Lytechinus pictus: one gene and its partners. The protein of the gene in region 3 interacts with the protein of the main gene of each other region in a pairwise test. Links are inferred from orthologs where the notes say so. Each region holds a gene or a part of one and is shown on either strand. Other genes may lie near its edges.

The links.
Region 1: the proteins of disks large homolog 1-like (region 3) and vang-like protein 2-B interact in a two-hybrid assay, tested with the Drosophila melanogaster proteins (3 studies listed by BioGRID). The link is inferred for Lytechinus pictus from reciprocal best matches to the Drosophila melanogaster genes dlg1 and Vang.
Region 2: the proteins of disks large homolog 1-like (region 3) and potassium voltage-gated channel subfamily A member 2-like interact in binary tests that used the Drosophila melanogaster proteins (3 or more experiments, as listed by UniProt). The link is inferred for Lytechinus pictus from reciprocal best matches to the Drosophila melanogaster genes dlg1 and Sh.

What each region holds. Positions count from the first base shown.
Region 1 is NC_087252.1:12,409,460-12,416,608, forward strand, and holds the start of vang-like protein 2-B, read right to left. Parts: upstream 3,041-7,149; 5' UTR 2,943-3,040; coding exon 2,874-2,942; intron 2,429-2,873; coding exon 2,201-2,428; intron 1-2,200.
Region 2 is NC_087253.1:9,708,594-9,716,592, forward strand, and holds the start of potassium voltage-gated channel subfamily A member 2-like, read right to left. Parts: upstream 3,044-7,999; 5' UTR 1,651-3,043; coding exon 1-1,650.
Region 3 is NC_087260.1:18,803,640-18,810,725, reverse strand, and holds the start of disks large homolog 1-like, read right to left. Parts: upstream 3,036-7,086; 5' UTR 2,979-3,035; intron 1,671-2,978; 5' UTR 1,620-1,670; intron 1-1,619. UniProt on the Drosophila melanogaster protein: During embryonic development, some isoforms are essential for proper neuronal differentiation and organization. Required for cell polarity; maintenance of apicobasal polarity.

The DNA of each region.
Region 1 (7,149 bases), on a different chromosome or scaffold from region 3:
AGCAATTGATCATGAGGCTGTTTTCTACGATTGATTGCACTGATTATTGTATACCATCAATCGTAAAGATCAGCCCCACTGTCGATCGCTAAGCTTTATGATACTGGGTCCGTCTTCTAGGTATGGAATGTGTGCGTGCATAGAAAACATGCCATGATGAATTTGTTGATAATGATGTGTCAGGTTTGTGGATGACAATGTTATATGATGTGTTCAGGGATAGGCTAGTGGTAAAGATACCACATGAAAATTGGACAATAACAAACAGAGAAGGGTGGTGGGAATAAAAAAGTGCTCTTACGCCCGCGTAACCGTGTGCGCGAGCAAATTTTTGAAATGCTTAAAATGACCTGATTCATATGATATTTTGGTCAAAAAGTGATTTTCAGCATTTTACAATTTTGACGCACGCATACGCGCACGTCGTGACCTTTACATGACCTCTGATGACATGGACAGTTGACCCGTCACCTGAAGATGTGATGTAAATATGGTTGATTTTTTATAATTGATAACGAAGGTATGATTGATGTGATTTTTAAAATGAGGACCTTTTGACCTTGAACTTGTTTTATACACATGACATGATAAGTCCCCATAACTGATGATATTTTGAAGAAAATTGTTGATGTAGATTTTGAGATTTTGTGCGAACGAGAAAAGGGCGAAAAAATAAAAATGAATAACAAATAATAAAAAAGAAAATTTGTACAAAATTAATAGTTGATCTGTCGATTGACAGATCACCTAATAACATGAAAAATCAGTATCCCTGCTTTTCTGGGGAAAATGCATCTGTGAGAAAAAATGGATGAATAGCTATTTGGACAAAAATGATGGAAATCATTTTGCACCACACATGGCTATGTATCCATAAATCAATCGCCAATTACATCCAGAGGAAATAAAACTCTTCTAGACCAGCATTCCTTGTATTGCCTCTAAGGATAAGATTTCACAGACTATTACACCTGCTCCTTTGGAAGAAGAGGAGACTGGATAACTGGAGTTAGGGGAGTCTGGGATAATCCCAAGATAGGCATTCAGAGGTCAAACAAGGTCAAATATGAGATATGGTTTTCACCTGGTAAAATAAACCATATGCCTTGTTTAATAAAAACTCACTTCTATTGTAACTTCTATAAAAAAAATTGATTTGGATTGGCTGCTGAGCACTGTTACCATGGTAATTGACATAATGGCAGACTGGCATTTACAATTATAGTTGTAGCTATTTGCGAAAAGGGGGTTCCGGGGGAGTGTTTCATGGAAGGTTTTGTACTTGATTTTTGCTGACTTCTTTACTCTCAGCCAATCAGATGCAAGTATTTGCAGTAGCTTCTTATAATCTGTAAAGTGACAATCATGGTTATTTCCAATTTGTCTAATGCCAATTCGTCCAATTGCCAACTTGTCTACTATCATTTGGTCTACCATCAGTTTGTCCACTCACCACATGGTCTACCCTCATTCAGTCTAATGCCATTACGTCTAATAACCAGTTGGTCCAATAGCCATCTAGTCCATATACCATACATGTGGTCTATTAAACTAAAGTGTTAATTATGCAAAATGAATGAAAAGAAAATGGGTATTAGACCAACTGGTTATTAGACAAGATGGTAATAGACGAACCGGGGATTAGACGAACCGGGGATTAGACGAAGTGATGATTGGACCAAATGGTTATTGGACCAAATGAAGGTAGACCATGTGCTGAGTGGACGAATTGGCAATTTACCATGTCATTCACTGAGCAACCTTTTCAAGAACCCTGCCTTGCATGAAGTGCAATGTTTGATGTCATTGATTTTCACTACATACATTTTATTCATGTATGTAATCTGCTCTGGGAGCCCTGCACAACATATGGAAGACTTCTACTTTTCAATGTTACAGTGTCTAGACATGCATATTTGCATGGACAGTACAGTGTACATGAAGGCTTTCAATAAGTTCTGTACATGTGATTTTGTGCCTAAATTAATGCTCTAACTCAATTAAATGGGCTTACCTACATGTACACGTACATGTACTGTATGTCTAAACATTTTTCAACTCATACAGCCATTGTAGTTTGTGCAAGTCAAAATCAACCCTATTTTTACCATGTTTATTTTGACAGTATTCCACTATATCGAAGTAAAATATTTTTTACAAAAAATCCTTTATTACATGTACATCTCATTATTGTACAAACCTCATCTCTGTCCTCGTCGGTTGTAGCTCCGTGCGTTGCTATGGTTACTGATCGTTCTACATGAGAATGTCTTTTGCTGTGTCTCCTATTTTCTCCATCATTCTCTGAATCCTCTCGGTTTCGATGTCGCCGACCACGTCGCCCCCTGTGGCCACGCTCGCTGTCTTCGTCCGTGTCCCGGTCACGGTATTTGTTCTTCGAGCTCTTACTGCTCCTTGTACTTTGGTTCTGTAGGGGAAATCCACACAATTATCAAGGATTCATGTTGGCCTTTTAATCGTGAAATAATTTTAGCAAATTAGCTTTTTTTCAAAATCTTTACACATACCTGTAGGCCTACTAGGGCTGAATCAAAGCATACATGTACTACCGTTCAAATGACTGCTATTAAAAAACATAACCGTTTTGCCATTTCGTAAATCATAACTGTATAGGGGAAAAAAAATCCCTAAGAGTTGCTGGAATTTCACATTTCACATGTACTCATCCTTGAATCATTCATTTTGAACTTGTTTAGGATTCTTCTTCTCAATTTGACCAAAAAAATATAATTCCATGATGGAGTGTAAGGGTAAGTCCATGAACCTTTACTTTACCATAATTGAAATTAGCAAACTGAATTTGAAACTGTGACTGCAATTATAAGCAATTTGTTAAAAACCTATTCTAGTACCTGAGGCTGCGGAGTAACTGGGAACCCCCCATTATCATCAGCATTTTCAGGAGCACCGTCGGTATCCATTTTCAATGTTTTGGCTCCAGAGGGCGGTGTTCCCGATCCCGTGTCAGTCTTGATGAATACGGCAGTGACCGTCAGTTTGAATGATTATCTCTGCATCTGGAGGGAAAGACAAGAAAAAAAAAGGTGGACAGTCTTTTATTTGCTGATTTGGAATACAAAAGAACGGGGGAGCATTTCATCAATGTTTGTCACCAGGCAAGTTGTGCCAACCGTAACTGTTGCTAGCTATGGTAACTGTTGGATAATGAGAACTTTATGACAAAAATTAGCGATTATCACTACAATTCTATGACATTTGCTCCGGCAACAATTGCTCCGCTATCATCAATTCCACAAACTATTCAAATGACCATTTTCAACACTGGATTTAATACTTAACACAACCCTAGCCTAACCCTAACCCTATTAATATAAGACCCTATTGCAACCCTCACCCTATTATGAAATAAAGAACGGAGCAGGTGTCGCTAGGACAAATGTTGTATCACTGCCACAACATCCATGTAACAGTATTTATACCTTTTTTTATATAAAATTCCCAGGAATTGCAAAAGAAAACCAGCAAAACAGACACTGGAGTATGCAGTGTGCATAGAAAGTAAAGTCGAAAGCAAAAATCATGATAATCTGAATTGACATCCATGTGGCTGATGTTATGTCAGAGTTTCGAATGTTGAATCAACCCCTACACAGTACTTGACCCAAACAGCTGGTCATGTGACCTGTTTATAAGCTGCACCAATCCCATGAGCCCCTGCACCAGACATTTAAGCTTCCAATAATATGGAGGCGTATTCAGACCAACTTGTTCGAGAATATCAGACCTCTGGTGGGTGTTTCATAAAGCTGTTTGCTCTACGGCGACCGTACGGCGAGTCGACAACAGTCGTTTAAACATTTTTGTACCAGCTGCATACAGGTGATTTGAATTAAAATTAATAAAATGGCTGTTTTCGACTCCATGAAGCCCCCCCCCCCTGGATCTGGAAATTTACTCTCTGATCTACAGCACACCTATCATAAAATATCAGGTATTTTTGGCAGCAAGAAAGCAAATATTTAATGTACTGCAATGTGAAAGGGATCTTCTCTGTGCAATATACACTGTAGGCCTACATGTATATTGGTGATTTATATATATTGGTGGCGATTTTTTACCTGATTGCTATTAAAGAAAGCATGAATGCTTGTAAGCAAGCAACCAGAGGACCGGTGGCTTAATGTCCTCTCCGAAGGACCTGTTACTGAGGATTGATGCCTTACCAAAGGGCACTAGCGCACCAAGTGAGAATCGAACCCGGGGTACTGGAAAACGAATGCCCCGCTCTACCGACTGAGCTACCGCGTCTCCTCTGCGCTTTGTAGACTAGTGCAATTGTACAACCCACAATGTATGAAGGCATAACCTCATAATTTTTACATACATGTAGTGCAGAGTCTGAAAGGAGACTAGATTCACTCATGTGTGGCTATTCTTATTTGACACAGGCAGAGAAAATGAAGTCTAGTTTTCACCCTACATGTACATGGCAGTATAATTTCTTCAAGTGTCAAATTTGAGTCTGCGCTTTGTAGACTAGTGCAATTGCACAGCCCACAATGTATGGGTGAATGAGTGAATGTGTAATCATGTGAACAATCTATGCTCGAATACTGATGATGCAGTATATCCCGTGGGACTCTACCCATCAATCCAGCTATAAAGTGCATTCTCCCCCAACTGAATTAATGAAAAACAACTTTTTTACGCATGGAAAGTATTCGTATCAATCACGGGGAGAATTCTCCATCAAAGCCTCGATGAACTGAGCAGTGTCAAAATTAAATTCACAAAAAAATAAAAATCTAAAGTGTAGTTGGCACTTTGTTTTTCTTTCACAATCTGTAGTTTTCATTGTGACATTGGGCAGTTACCCAAAGCCCCCCCCCCCCTTAAAAACCTGCACGTAGATGCACATACTTTTAATCAAACCATAAAATTGCTTATCAATATAATCCACAAAAATTAACTATTTTTCATACTACCAGTATAATATTTCATATGATTCAGTGTAAAAAAGGAGCAACACAATTTGTTCCACAATGTGCTGCACTCGACCCAGTGAGGTGAATGGGTACTGAGCGCCGGTGATGGTAGCTTGAGCCATGGATCTACTAGTAGGTCCATGCTCGAGATTAAGCCAGGGTAATAATAGCAGCGCTTTGTATCCTCAGGCAAAAAGCGCTTTATAAATAAATAAATTATTATTATATTAATGGAAGAACTTGAGTTATAATGTAAAATGCAAGTCCTGCAAGCTTCTTGGTAGATGGGTACAACTGAATACCCAGCAACGGAGCCCTGCCATGGAGCCAAGCCATTGATCTGGACATCAGAGATCCTGATCAATGAAAGGTCTTGACTTCACCTATCTGGTTCCCGAGATATTTGCCCCGATACAATTTCCCACTACGTGCTTGTCAGGTATCAATGACTTGCATTGCATTCTTTTTTGGTAGCGAGTCCTAAGGGTGATCACAGGATTGCAGTCTTTGTAGTTTTCCACACTGATCTCTCTTCTTGCTCTTTATCTCTTTTCCTCTCTCCTTTCCTCTATTTTCCCTTCTCCCCTTTTCCTCAATCGTCCCTTCTCCCTTTCCTTTATTTGCCCCCTTTCTCCTTCCTATATTTGCCTCAATACAATTTCCCAATACATGCTTGTCAAGCATCAATGACTCGCGCCCCATTCTCTTTGGTAGCTACATGTAGTCCTAAGGGTTATCGAAGGTCTGTTTTCTCCTTAGTTTACCACACCAATCTCATTTTTGTCCCCTTCCCTGACTCTCTTTTTCTCTCCTTCCCTAAAACTTCCCTCCTCTCCTTTTCTCCAAATGTACAGTGTAGAGCATCTGGAATACAAGAGATGATCGAATGGATACGTTTCTATATCATCCTTTGGCAATAATCTACATTTACCACATTTGCCACAAAAGGACCCCAGCCCTCACCCAGGTGATGGAATTGGGTACCTGGCAGGAAACGTGTACATGTGTTGGGCCTATCCCTTGAAATGCTTGTGTGCTGTAAAATAGCTTGCCAGGCAAAAAACCAGAGATTAATATATTCAACATCATTTGGAAGCCCAGAGATGTTTTAGATGAAATAATTAATATGATAAAATGCACAAGACTGGAATAGCATCTCCAATTTCTCTGTGATAGTGAAGATCATTGGTAGACCCCATTTCAAGATGTACAGTATTGTAGGTCTGAGGAGGTGGACTATTGAGGCAAACTAGGGACAGTCAAACGTGAATTCATTGAACACACTGAGCAATATTGGAAGATAAAATGAGGCTAGTCTGCAGGCGCAGACCCTTCTTTTTTGCATAATTCGGAGTCTGAAGTAGTGAGACTAGATTCACTATACCGTGGCTGGCTCTGAACCTTTGGCGTCTAGTCTTTACTCTAGACCTGTTATTGGTTAATGTGTCGAAAATAGGTCTGTGCTTGCAGACTATGCTGACACTTCTGTTCGATCATGTAATTATCCATGGCTGGAAGGGGAATCGACCAAGGCAATATGAGAGGGCAGGGAGAGGGAGCATGAAATTGAAATCCTAAATCAATAGAATCAATCCCACTCCTGACATTTGTAAATTTGATGTCATATGAATGATGAGGCTTTGCAATGAGGCATGCCTTGAAGGGCTACAATCTCTTGGAGTGCTCACACCATGCTTGAATATTTTTTTTCGTGCCTGCCCCCTCCATCCCCCCCCCCCCCCTTTCCATCCCCATGACTAGTCTGCGGGCACAGACCCATTTTCGACACTTTAACCCTTGGTTTTCACAATTCGCATACTGCATAATGCAGAGTCTGAATTGGTGAGACTAGATTCACTATGCACTGTGGGTGACACACACAGAGTCATTGGAATCTAGTCTTCACTCTAGACCCATTATTGGTTGAAGTGTCAAATATGAGTCTGTGCTTGCATACTACCCATGACTATTCACAGATAGAGTGACAGTTTTTCTGGCATAATTAATGGTAAAGAAATTTAATTGGCTTTAATATGTACACTGTCTGTACAGTATGTAGGCCTACATGTACATATATGTATGTATCATACAGTGTAGTAAAATCTCAGTACATTATTTTCACCCATTTTTAAAGGTACATGTAGAATCTGTGAAATAACAGAGAAGGGGGAGACCCCCCCCC
Region 2 (7,999 bases), on a different chromosome or scaffold from region 3:
GCCCTGAACATTATTTGGCTTTGAATTACCATTGTGATTAGATTTCCTACTCGACGATTCTAATAGCCCCTCTTCCATCTCCACAAAATCATGTTGATCCAACTCACTATTACCTTCACTTCTATCGTCAATAGAGGGCGCTTGTTGGAACGGACAGCTTGATACATGTGAGTAGTTTGAGGAATCCTCACCGTCGTCCTCCCGGTGGTAAAAATAATTGAAATTGGACACGATTACAGGAACAGGAAGCGCGATCGTCAGTACGCCCGTTATTGCGCAGAGCGATCCTACGATTTTAGCACCTGTACTTTTGGGTTTCATGTCACCATAGCCAACAGTTGTCATGGTGACCACTGCCCACCAGAAGGCATCGGGGATACTCTTAAAGATAGGTTCGCCGTTTTCGTCCGAGCTGTCAGCATCGGCGAAGTAGACGGCGCTTGAGTATAGGACAACCCCAATGCACAGGAAGAATATGAGCAGGCCTAGCTCACGCATACTGGCCTTTAAAGTTCGACCAAGAATTTGTAAGCCCCGAGAGTGCCTCGAAAGCTTGAATATTCTGAAGACGCGAACAAGTCGGATAACACGAAGGATGGCTAAGGACATAGCCTGGCTGTTAGTATCTGTGGATGACTGGGCGATCATGGTGCCCACTTGTATAAAATATGGAAGTACTGCTATGATGTCAATGATATTCATGACGTTTTTTGCAAAGGCCAATTTGCTGGGGCTCGACAGGAATCGAACCAGAATTTCGAAAGTAAACCAAACAATGCAGCACGTTTCGATCACAAAGAACGGGTGGCGGAAGTATGCCGCCAGTTCTGCACTTTTTAAGGCAGCATCTGCTTCCTCCGATGATGTCGTTCTATTGCCTGATTGAGTTGGCGTGGGCACCGTAGTCGCTGCCATAGTCGCTCCACAAGTAGTAACCCCTGATCCACTCTCCGTCATCTTACGCGCGTCTTTGAACTCTGGCATTGTTTCCATACAGAAAATTACAATTGATATAAGGATTACACTTACAGAAATGATCGCTACAACTCTAGCCATTCTAGAAGACTCGGGATATTCAAATAGAAGCCACATTTTCTTTTGCAAGGGATTCGTAGGCAATACTTTTTCCTCATCTTGAATGAAGCCCTCGTCCTCTCTGTACTTTGTCAATGCTCCATCGCCCAGTTCATAGAATTTTATTTCCTCTGTGAAGACATCTATAGGAACATTGACAGGCCTTCGCAACCGTCCCCCACTTTGGTAATAGTACAAAATGGCGTCAAAGCTCGGTCGATTACGATCGAAAAAGTATTCGTTCCGAATGGGATCAAAATACCTGATCCTTCGCTCAGGATTCCCTAGTAAAGTGTTAGGAAACTGGTTCAGAGTCTTGAGGTGTGTTTCGTAGTGGAGTCCACTGACGTTGATGACAACGCGTTCCCATCCAGGATCTTCGCTTGCCATGTCTTCCCCGCTATCACTGCTGTCATCACCTTGCTCAAGGAGTCGAGGTAGAGACCGACAGTTGCTCATAGCGCCAGAGATGTTTCCTCCACTGGGGGTATGAGACATTGACCTTCCGTAGTGCCGTGGGGTGGATGCATACGGGTTACCCGATGCCGCCTCAAGCCCTGCCATTGCCGCTTCCATCCTTGGACTTGCCGTAGGGGGCGCCAAGGAGGTCTTGGGCTGTTTTTTCCTACCCCAGGATCTATTTTGCCTGTTGTTCGAGCGAGACCAGGCAGGGTTTAACCCCCAACGCTCGATCAAATCAATTTTATGGTTGAAAATGGTGGCGGTTGGTGTTTAACAATTAAAGAAAAAAAAAGGAGCGCGCCTAAATACAAGAAGCAACTTAAATTCCGTTGAAAGGGGGCGGCAGGTTGAGCAAATATTAGGGGAAAGGGGACAAAGGGGTGAGGCTGGCTTTCTTATAGTTGCCACCAATCGTCAAATTGTTTCTTTGCTCACGCTGAAAATAGATTAATGATCTCTTGTCGAGATCAGTTCCTTAATGTAAATAAAGCTATGCTAGTTCTGTGCACTGATTACAATATCATCATGTTCATAAGCCAAAGATATACAATTTAAGAGCAAAGATAAATAGTTACCTTTAACAAGCAACTTAAATGATCTCCTAACAGCTACAGAGATGAGTTATGCCTTCTCTTGCAGGTTATTAGTTTTGTACTTACCATGAAAACACCATATGATCTTATACCAAGTTATGGAATTGATTTGGCAGAACAGGAGCTATCTTTCCTAAAGCCTGGATGCCTAAGACGCAAGGAATCAAGGTCAAAGAATTTCAATAAATTTTCAACAACTGAAATTACATCCAAACAGTGACAGACCAGTGGTGCATTCCTTTCAAAATCATCAAAAAACAAGCTTCCCGGAAGTCATTACATATATGTCGGAAGATTTGAAGCATAAATCGTCCACTCGACTCCGTTAAAAAACGATGTCCACTTTCTATATACAATGAGTTGTATCAGAAAGGGTACGAGACATACGTCTATGCATATACATTCAATATCGCCGTGCATGAACGTTTGCTTAAACTCTCCTTGGTATCCCTGTTAGTTTTCCTCGCAGGTTCCCCGGAATCCAACTCCTTGGTTCATGTGAGATCGGTTTCCAATGTTGCTAGCGTTTTGGGTGTCGACCCCTCCCCCTATCAATAACTTGATATGAACACATCCCCATCTCTTGTTTCTTCAACCACAGGCAAGTTACACGGAGGGAAGACAGCCATGAAAGGAGAAACTGCAGTACACTATGTTCCGATCTACCAAAGCTTTCCTTTGATCCGTTCAAAACGAACGGGTACACCAGCAGCCTCTATAATGGCGACGGTGAACTGAAATAGTCGCGAGAGCTAGCATGAACTCTCCTCGTTCAGATAGCTGGCAGCGCCCGGCCTGGACCTCTTGTTCTTTATTCGTTAATCTGAATGGCTATTCGCTGACTTCCAATGCATTGGCTACGACCTGCCAAATGAAGAATCGACCGAAGCGTGCTGGTGTAATTCCACGCCAATGAGCATAATATATGTCGGTCTCACGGCGGTGTATACACTCGCTTTTTTTAATAATACACGCAGGCATCGCCGATGATGTGCGCGTGTTCGTGTGTGTATTACAGTATTGCTATATCTCACGGGGCTCGCATCACTTGTGTGTTCTATTTGAAGAGGCGATTGCGATGACAATGAACAAGGATGTTGAATGCGGAATGAGATGGTCTTAACTCTCTCGTCGCCCATTTTCTTCCCCACTCCTCGCTGTAGCGAAGCGCTCGGGTTAATTACTTGATGTCGTCATCGCGCTAAAACACGTATCGATGTCGAGTTTTCAGAATCATGCGGTTTTTTTTTCATTTTGTCTAATCGTGATACCTCGTGATTAGGCTTACAGAGGGGAAAATAATTGGCGCCGAGCTGGAGTCTTTTAGCCGGGTAGTGTCTTCTTTGGATGTGCTAATTTCTACATGTGATATTGTTCGTGTTTATTGCGAATGGTGACGGTGGGAAGATGAATCGAATACATTGACAAGCGAATCTGTAGGCCTATGTGTTACTAAATATATATTACTGGTTAATGTGATTGCACTAAATATGCTTAAATACCAGCGCCATATATTCATTATCATCATATACCAATAGCTCCATTGCAACCAAACCGATTTTTTTTTACTTTTTTTTTTCCATAAAAAAATCAGTATTCATTGCAAGTAGATGCTTTAGCGCCAAATATATTTTAATCATATCTTACTTACAAGGCGTGACACGTGATGATAACAATGATAATGATAATGCCGGTGGTGATGAAGATTAAACGTTAACAGCGAAAGTGATATGGCATTTTTTCGTGAAGCTCGACCTATTGATAAACAAAAGTTCATCACACGAGTACTACAGTGTAAGCAAAGAACAATTAAGCTGCAAACGAAAAGGAAACTCGCGTTTAAATGGTCGGAATTATCCGATTTATACTGTTTACGATTATAACCTAGTTACAACAATTATGATAATGTGGAGAATGAAAATGGTGATATCTGTGATAATAACTCCAATAATGATATCAATAAAGATATTACAATTCATAACAACTTCATAAAGATAATAGTTATATCAATTTCAGTAAGACTGATGACATCAGCAACCTAGGTAACTATAATTGATTTATATTACGTTTGCGATTTGGATATTTTTTCAAATAAAAGTATCGTGCAAAATCGATTAGGATATATTATAAATGATTACTGTTATAACAAAATATAACGAATTTGTAAAAGTCTTCGAAGATAAAATAAGACCATATAGGGATTATCAAAATGACATCAATAGTAGTCCAAAATAAGAAGGGGATATGAAATGAAAAGATAGTGAAGCATATAAAGAGCTTAATTGCAGAAGGGATTAGGTCAATTTTCTCAATGTATACATTTTTAGTAGCTTCATAAGATGATACCCAAGAAACGATGAAATTCCCATTAAAAAGTGAACAAAAGATTTTTTTGAAAAAGAATATTTAAAAAAATATGTAAACAGGTAGATTTCTTTTATACCCAATTTTATGTTCACATGGTAGGGCATCATGAAAACTTAGTTTCGCATAAAAATATTGCAATATGGGAAAGTAAAAAAAGGTATTTTCTTGGAGTGGACCCTATCCCTTTTGCAACCAAACTCTTATAAACAGCTCATTTGTCAAAATGAGTTCGGTCCATTTTTTATAAATCTTCTTTTTTCTGTCCCGAAAGCTATAGATATTAGTCGCTCTGATGATACCAAAGAAAATTTTAAATTCACATTAAAATGTGAATAAAAGTGGCAAAGAAAAATCACTTTTTTATTCAAAAGAGATTGGATTCATTTCAATTTGCTTGCAAAAGGGATTAGGTCCACAATGATAATTTAAAAAATGACTTTATGTAGAAAAAAGTGAAGACTGGTAAATTTCTTTTATACTTAATTTTATGTTCACATAATAGGAGAGTACACCATGACAATTTTGTCACTCATAAGAATATTACAATACGTGAGAATTAAGAAACATTATTTTTCTTGGAATGGTCCAAAGTAGACCTAACCCCTTTTGCAACCAAACTCTTCATATCAAATTACTCACATACCATGTTACATTCAAATATGATTTCCAAGAAATCCCATCCGAGACAGTCCACAGCTACAGTCTAAATTGCAGGTATTTAAATAAAATCCCGGGATAATGCAAATAGGGACCAATCTGGATTTAAAGTTAATCCCATAAAAAGTAATCTTAAATCTATAATGATTTTGATATAAATCCTTTGAGATATAAAAATCAATCGTATGTATTGTTATAACCATGTTTTAATCTTGATAAATTTTAATATAAATTATTTTAGATTTAAAATGAAATTTTATGATTAAAACTATATCCAGAATTCGATCGGTCCATATCTAAAATTTATCTAGATTTATTTTAATTTCCTGCTGTATAAAGTGTATGGATATTTGTTCCAAAGATTATAATGAAATCGTCTTTCTCATTTTTTACTCATTTTTTGTTCAATAGTCATCTATAAAAAAAAAACCTTTTTAAAGTATACACTGTCAAATTAATTGTAATATTGACATGCACTGTTAGGGTGATTTTCCTTACAATCAAAATAGATTTAACTTAGATTTTCTAAGATTCAGATATACATTTTATTACAATTTCACTTGCTAATTGCTAATTTTCTCCATGTATGCTTAGAACACGAAATTCGTTTTCAAATAGGCTAACACGAGATGAATGGATGGAGACGCTTGGCTATGCACTGGGTAATATTCAGTTTATTACTTATTGATATTATTTTAGAATGCTATGCAAGCTTCTGGTAAATTACATCGTAGCATCCATGCTCAACCTTGAAGTGCAGCAGAAGGACTATAGCTACAGGGTATCTCAACAGATATATACATATATATATATATATACATATATATATATATATATATATATATGTGTGTGTGTGTGTGAGGGTGTGTGTGTGTGTGTGTGTGAAGTATTACACGTACAACAGCTTTGGCAACTCTTTTATTTAAATATTGTGTGAAAGAAATAGATGCAGAGAACAATGGTAGGCGTAGCTTAAATCAAGGTTCCCCAGAGCTATCTACCCTTTGGAAAAATTGGTGATGCCGAAAAAAAAAATGTTTCTGCCGGGAATCGAACCCGGGCCCCAAGCTTTAAACGCCGGTGCCTTAATCACAAGACCACAGAGACGGGTTAGTGGCTAGGGCGACCCCGATCCGATTGACCGTCAGATAGACAGATTTTCGACACTAAACCAATCATAATTTTCTTTGTCGGGTGAAGGTGGGTTTTGAACAATGACAAGCCGCCACGTCCCAGCTGGATCAAAGCTATTGCTTTGATACAGTACACGTATGGGAGAAAGTATTCAAATGTGTGAAGTTATACATGTACAACAGCTTCGGCAACTCTTTTATTTAAATATTGTGTGAAAGAAATGGATGAAGAGAACAATGGTAGGCGTAGCTTAAATCAAGGTTCCCCAGAGCTATCTACCCTTTGGAAAAATTGGTGATGCTGAAAAAAAAAATTTCTGCCGGGAATCGAACCCGGGCCCCCAGCTTTAAACGCCGGTGCCATAATCACTAGACCACAGACACGGGTTACTGGCTAGGGCGACCCCGATCCGATTGACCGTCAGATAGACAGATTTTCGACACTAAACCAATCATAATTTCCTTTGTCGGGTGAAGGTGGGTTTTAAACAATGACAAGCCGCCACGCCTCAGCTGGATCAAAGGTATTGCTTTGATAAAGTACACGTATTATATGGGAGAAAGTATACAAATGTGTATAGTCATACATGTACAACAGCTTTGGCAACTGTTTTATTTAAATATTGTGTGAAAGAAATGGAGGAAGAGAACAATGGTAGGCGTAGCTTAAATCAAGGTTCCCCAGACCTATCTACCCTTTGGAAAAATTGGTGATGCCGAAAAAATGTCTCTGCCGGGAATCGAACCCGGGCCCCCAGCTTTGAATGCCGGTGCCTTAACCACTAGACCACAGAGACGGGTTAGTGGCGAGGGCGACCCCGATCCGATTGACCGTCAGATAGACAGATTTTCGACACTAAACCAATCATATATATATATATATATATATATATATTATAATATTATTTATTTTTCCCAATTTGTTTACCAAGTTATTAGTCTTTATTCCCCAATTTTGACAGATTTTAACCAATAGTTGTGTCATAGTATGTTGCCCAGTGTTGGTTAAAAGTTACGCATTTTACCGAGCTATTTCAAAAGTGTAATAAATTCAATTCTATTTCATCGTCATCATTGTGATCATCATCACCACGCTGCGCTTTGAGCATGTTCAAATAAAAAAACAGAGTAGAAATGCTAACATGAATAATGTATCCACTTTCACCGTGATCACCCTGCTCATCACTGTCATCGCTTTATGTTCCGTTATCATTCCTCTTTCTTAGAGACTACACAAAGTTCCAAATAAAACTACAAGACTATATCCCCCCCCCCTCCCTCCCCCCCCCCCCCGAAAAAAAAGTAATAGCAAAATATTAAGCCAAGTTAGCGAAAGGTCCACATATCTGAATGCTATTTTTAACTTTTAAGGAATGCAGCAATGAATTTTGTTTAAGCACCATGTACCTTGATGTTTTTGTATAGTGTTAGGATATCAATGAGACCAGTCGACTACCAAACGCACGATCAATGGGTCAACTTTTTAGTTCCGATCGAAAATTCGATGGTAATAAAATCTTGAAAGAAAACCCAATAGAATTGTACCGTTGAGAGAATAGCTGCAGAACGAGATCGTTACGTCCCTGCCGCAGTCGCACTTGGCGAGACCGACTCCAGACCGACGAGGTATATTACGTTATTTCAAATGGCGTAAAATATATCGGTTTGGAGAAGGTTTTGTTTGTGTCACTGCACCTTTCTACTATGTCTACT
Region 3 (7,086 bases):
GAAAATAGAGAAATGGCCATGTGCATGAGGCATTTATGAAATGTTATTTACTCTTCCCAATCTTCAAATTCCACAGTGGTTTAGTCTCGCAACTCGGGACGAAAGGAAAAGGAGGAGGGCGATGGTTTGATGTCGATGAATGTAGAAATGATTTTTTTTTTACGATGGGCAAGGAGAAATGTATTTATCAATACTTAATAAGAAAAGGTGATTGAAAAATTGTATTTGCAGGAGGGAAATCACTGCAGGGAAATTAATGAATGAGTGAATGATAGAAAGAGGGAGTGAAAATAAGCTTATGGGGAGATAGAGAGGAGAGAAAGAGCGAGATAGATAAATGGGTGGAATAATGAAGGGGGAGGGGGGGGGGAAAGAACGGAATTGCAAAAGAGGGGGGGGGGGTCCAAGGGGGTGGAATAAAATAAGATGTGAAATTTATGTATCATGTTACACATACATGGATAATATATAAGGGAGACAATCCTGTCAATAACATTCAGAGAAAATCCAATATTGAGTAGATAAATTAGGAAAAAACATAATTTTTATAAAAAAATTCTAATAAAACAAACTTTCTGTTTCAGATTATTAAAAAGGAAGCTCAACTAAAGTCATCTCGAACCAGAAAAAACTGCCCTAAACCAACTCGGAAATTACCCGTGTTACAATTTCTCCTCAATTTCACAATAAACCTGATCAAATTCTTCATGACAAAATGTCAGCAAACTCCACGGAATAATCCACAAAATGCAGAATAATTTCATCTCGCTATTATCTTTTAGTTCTCTCCTGGCCAAACGATGCAAAAGATAATTACAGATGTCTTCTTCGAGGCCTTAATTATGCATATCATACCAGATGGAATTATCCATGTCATATTTTGATCCCCAAGCTTGAGGTTTTGTGCATATTTGAGTTTAAACGAAGGTCTAAAAATAACATTCAAGATGAGAAGATGGAGGTTGTTATGAAAATCGATAACTCTATGAATAATGGAATCTATCTGATGGCCTTTCAAAAATAAGTAGAAAAAGAAAAAAAACCCAGGGGCAACAGATGCATGAGAAGTCGGTCTCTGATTAGTATGAAGACAATAACACTGTCTGGAAAAAGAGACTAATCTGTATCTCCGATGTCTAGCTTCTCTTGCTCAAATTGGGGATTTGGTCTCTGTTCAAGACTTTCTGTATTGTCTTGGACATGCATCAGGAATTCTACCCCCCCCCTTTTAAATTGCAGATTGGATTTTTATTTGGAGTTGCCTATATAAAGGTGATGGTTGATTTTTTTTTCACAATTGAATTAAAAAAAATAAGATTGTGATTAATCTTTGGAGATGACATGGAGCATGGTAAAAATGCATTAGGACATCAAAGAAAGTGAGAGAATGAAAGTAATATGATGAAGGATAAAAAGGAGAAGAATGAAGGAGGAGAAAGAAAAGTAGAAAAGGAATGAGATGGATGATGAAGATGGGGGATAAAATATAAGATAAATAAGAAAGAAAACGAAGTGAAGATAAAAAAACCAGAGCATTAGAAGAACAGACAAAAACTAGGAAGAAGATGAAGAAATGGGAGGAGAGGAAGAAGAAAAAGGAATAAACATGGTAAACTTACCCGTACTAATGTGATTTCCTCATATTGCCACTGAGTATCTCTATTTTGTATCTGACAGAGAGATAGAGAGAGAGAGAAAAAAAAGGAGACACAAAAAAAAACCAAGAGTTTAAGAAGAGACAATATATATTAAATAGGAACAATTCCTCATAAAAATGAGAAAAGGTAAAGAAAATTGCCATCAACTTATCATTACAAAAAAATCGAATGAAAATATGCTCCGCTGTTCCCGTACATAAAACTTGATATCAATTTTTTGGTTCATGAAAAAAAAAGAAAAATAACCTCATATCTACTCTAGATAACACTCATTCTTTTCAAATTCCTGAAAAATTCCAAATTATGCAATTCCAAAATTTTCCAAAAGAGAGTACAGTCAATTTTATAATTTTTCAGTATTATGACTGGGTATGCCAAAGTCATTTAAATCTAACTTGTATGACTACCAATGATTTATTTGTATTAATACATTTAAATATGTGCTAATTTCTTCTGGTATATAGAAAAAGACTTATTAGTCAGTAATAATACAAGGGTTTGCAGTTTATAAAGTATGTCTAGTTGGCAATAAGCAAGGAAAATAAAGTAATTAGACTTTTTTCAGGGTATCATATAATACATTCCTACATCTGCATAGCTCTGTTAGCAATTTTCATTGTCAGAGCGTGATACGAAAAAACAACCCAACTAATTCACATGGATTTTTAAATTCTACATCGCTCACTCCCCTGAAATGTGCTTTTTGTATCAGAGTAGCTAAATCTTGTGTACATAATACACATGATTGGAGTATGTGAAATGTACATGGTGTAATCGGCTGTTCTGGTATAATGAAATCAAATGTTTCAACCTATTGAACAAATCAAATGAACGATGGTGTGACGGCGTCGCTTACAGAATCAAACTTCGCAGGAAGCCGGGGGAAACGGAAACAAACCCAACCACAATGGAGGAAGAAAATGTGATTAATCATAAATTTGGTGGATTGCACTGAAATTCTGTGCCCGGATCTTGCATTAGGTTTTTGCACGAGGCTGTGTATGGTAGGTGGAGGTACACCGTTTTCCTGAAGTCAAAAGCAACAGTTGTATGCCCTTTGATCAATGCATAATGCATGGCTTGTGATCTCTGATGGTAAAGACACCTCCATGTGATGTCAATCTTTTAAAATGCCATTTTCTCAAAAAAAAAAATTGAAAGTGATGTTGTTGGTATGGTGGATACTCTTGTTTTCTTTGATGGATTGTTGCCCAACCTTCACCACTATTTTTTGAAAATTTGTCTGTTTTTATTGAAATAAACACAGCGTTATGGTGAAGTTCCCCTTTAAAGTCTTAGCAGCGGGTATTTTGTACTTACTGTCGGGGTTCCTGTTCCCTCTAATCTGTCTGATAACACTGGTGATGAAGGTGAGGGCTGCTGAAAAGAAAAGAAGAAAAAGGAAGGAAATTTTATTTACTACTGTCAATGTCAAAAACACTAATATGGGGGAGTACTTATGATAGTGAATTACTAGTTATTAAACTCAAGATTAGCATAATAATCAGCATCGCCATTACCACAATTTATCAGCCATTTACAGCATCAACAATTACAACAACTTTCTCCTTTATTTTTACATTACTACCACTTTCATAACCAATGCCATTTTTATAACCTCATCATCATTATCATCATCATCATAATCACCACCACCACCACCACCACCATCACCACCACCGTCATCGTCATCATCATCAACAACACCACCACCACCATCACCACCATCACCACCACCACCATCATCGTCATCATCATCATAATCATCATCATCATCATCACCACCACCATCATCATCGTCATCATCATCATAATCATCATCATCATCGTCGTCGTATTCATCATCATCAACACCACCATCACCACCATCGTCATCATCATCATCATCATCATCATAATCATCATCATCATCATCATCATTATCATAACTGTCACCTTCACTGCCATAATCATCTTCATTCCAACCATCATCATGACCACCACAACCATCATCATCATAACATCATCACATCAACATTGACATCATCACCACCACCAATGCCACTATCAACATCACAACTCCTCATCACCATATAATCATCCGATTCTTAAGTTAAAATGTTTTTACCAAATTATGCAATCATAATACATACCTCAAACAATACCACCAATATCATAATCACAATCAGTATTCACATACCCTTTTCTTGAACTCATCAACACACAATTTTTTCCGACACATACACATAGGCCTAAATGAGCAAAGTTATAAGCATTCATATTTAAAACCAAGCATTCAATAAACATCGGAGAAACATTTTGATAAGTCCCACCACAAAATGCAGAACTAATCTCATCAGATCCAATTAGCCGTACCATGAAAATAACAACTACATCTAACAAATATTGGCTGGTTTCAAGTACATAAAAGCCCCGCTCTTCCCGCATGGTCGAAAAAATTTCTCCTTTCCTCATTAAACATCTAAATTGCATCAGCAGGTAGTAAACAACATATCATGGACTATATATCACCATTTGGAATCATAACGCAGAGATTTAAGCTTGCGGCAAGGATAGGGTATTACATTAATTTTACTTCATTTAAAAAGCTGCTAAATTTAAAGACACAAGGCCTCATAATAGAGGGTACTTCTGCCTGCAGAGTGCAGACTGTGTATGCTAATTACCAGGGGTTGAACAAAAAAGCTATTTAATGATACGCTGTATTGTATTGATTAAATAATTCTTTCTCCTGGTTTCTGTGTCTGCCTGACAAGGTCTGTACAATTGTTGGTCTGTATCTCTTATCATTTTCTTTTTACTTGTACTGTATCCCCTAAACAGGTAACTTGATGCTGTAGTGTTGTTTAAATTTAGCTCTGTAGTGCAATGTACAAAAAATTATCAATAAAAAGAAGATACACTATTAACTTTATTCTCAGATAGCAAGCTCATTTTCAGTGACTATTCAAAAATTTTGAAGTAAACGCTAAAAGCTATTTGCAAGATGCTTTAGTTCGAGTTTATATACTTCTAGCCTCGGTGACGTGACATGCATGGCACGACCTTAATCAGGTTTTGATCGATAGGTGATCGGAGGTCAGGTTTAAGGCTGCCATGGGCGTTGGAGGAGTGGAATGAATGCTTATGGTGGTGGTGTTGGAGGTCGTGGTGATGGTAGAGTGATGACAATAGTGGAGGTGGTGATGATGGGTGGTGGTGATGATGATGATGATGAAGATGGTGGTGATGATAATGATGTTGATGATGATGGTGGTGGTGGTGATGATAATGATGGTGATGATGATGGCGGCAGTGGTGGTGGTGATGATGATGATGATAGTGATGATGATAATGATGATGATGGTGATGATGATAACGATGATGATGGTGGCAGTGGTGATGATGATAGTGACAATGGTGATAGTAGAGATGAGGGTGGTGGTGATCATGATGATGATGGTGGTGATAGTGATGACAGTGATAAAGATGGTGGTAATGACTGCTGTGAAGAAGACAATGATGATTATGGCAGTGGCGGTGGTGTAGGTGTTGATGATGGTGGTGGTGATGAAGACGATAGTGATAATGGAATGATCATGGTGATAATGAAAATGGTGGAGGTGTAATGATGATGATGATTATGATGGTGACGATGATAATGAAGATGACGATGGTGGTGTTGATGATGATGATGATTTTGGTAATGATGATGATAATGATGAGCTATATGAGACGCAGAATTCACCAACATTCAACTGTTTTGAATTCTCACAAGTTAAATACAATTTGCTTAACCAATAAATGATTCAAATTGTATACCACTGTATAAACAAGATGCATCAACTAGGAGCACATTAGGAATATTGCAATTTATCAGACATCCTACTCACGTTCCGCAATGCATAACAGAACCCTTTCAAATCATCTCGACACCTGCAATTTGATCGAGCCTTGCAACCTCTAATGCTAATCTGCAACAAAGGCAGAAATACAACGACAAATATTGGAGCCCACTGAGAGACCAAAATGCAGTAATCAATCTAGTGAAGCAGATAACAACACGTGTACAGTGAATTCTTAATGACATACGATCAAACTCTACAACTCACTAAACAACATCTTAAGTTGTTTTTCAATCAGCTCAGGGAGTCAACCGTGTTCTCTATTCGATGCGTAAAATAATACGGATTAGAAGACATTTGCATCCAAGATAGCTATCACATCATTCTTTGCATCAGGCATTTCTAATTCTCCATAGTCTTCTCTTGCCCGTAAGGTGCCAGAGTTTGTGGGTTTTACATGTTTATTAGTCACGGCTTGACATTTTTGTTTGTTTCTTGGCATTCTGATGCAAACCTCAAGGGGTAGATAACCATAAGAAAACCCAAGAATGTGATATTTTTAACTCATTCTCTGAAGAACTTTTGCATAGAAATGTGGCATACTGTTAGAAGCAGGCAAGGCCTACTTTTTATTAGGTCAACTCATAAAAAGAATACTTCTCTGAGTCCCGTGTATTCTTTTAATATGATGCTCGATGATGGTCTATAGTGTTATCAAATTATCTGCTATTCGTCTCTTAATATAATTTTTTTAATGCTATGTTAAAATGGAAAGTGATCTTATTCAAGTAATTTGTGGTTGTATTTCAATATAAAAATATCATATGGGCCCTAGTCTGGTGAAAATGTGTGTGTAAAGGCTAAATCTACCCTAAAAATTAGTGAGTTGAATGGCCCGAATAAAATGGAGCAAATCAAATTGAATATGTCATCGAAATCACTATCACTATTCAAAATTTATTTGAATTCAGCGTGCAGAGTGGGAGATTCTTGGTTAACAGGGACATATATAATTCAAATTTCAAATTGACAAAAAAATAAAGCACTGAGTACAGTAAATCTTTAGGGAATAGATGAAAATACAATGATTATAGTGGTAAAAACGAGAAAAGAGAAAAGAGAGAAAAAAACCAATCATCAGTGACAAGGGAAAATCCCAGATTGAAATCTGAAGCTTTGTAGATGAAGTAAAGATTTGTTTAATTCATTGTCAACCGTTTCTGTGTCATCCTATCTGTCCATAAACAGGTATCTCCCCAATTCTTTTCAAGTGGAGGTGCCGTGGCCGAGTGATCTAAGGCGCCTGGCTATAGATGGAAAGTCCAAGGTTCGATACCCGGCCGCGGCACCTATGCCAATGAGCAAGACATTTAATTGACAACGCTCTTTTATCCTGCATTCAAATAAATGAAAATGATATACGCATTATTGGTAACTAGGTGTGCACTTTATAAAAAAATTCTTTGCAAGCTGTCAAGATATAAATGAAATATAGAGATATTCCAAAGTCTGTATGTATCTGAAAGTGACAGCTAATTTATGAAGTGTGAATACACGTCTTAAATCTTGATTTATTTCAAATTTTCAAATTAAAAAAAAAATCA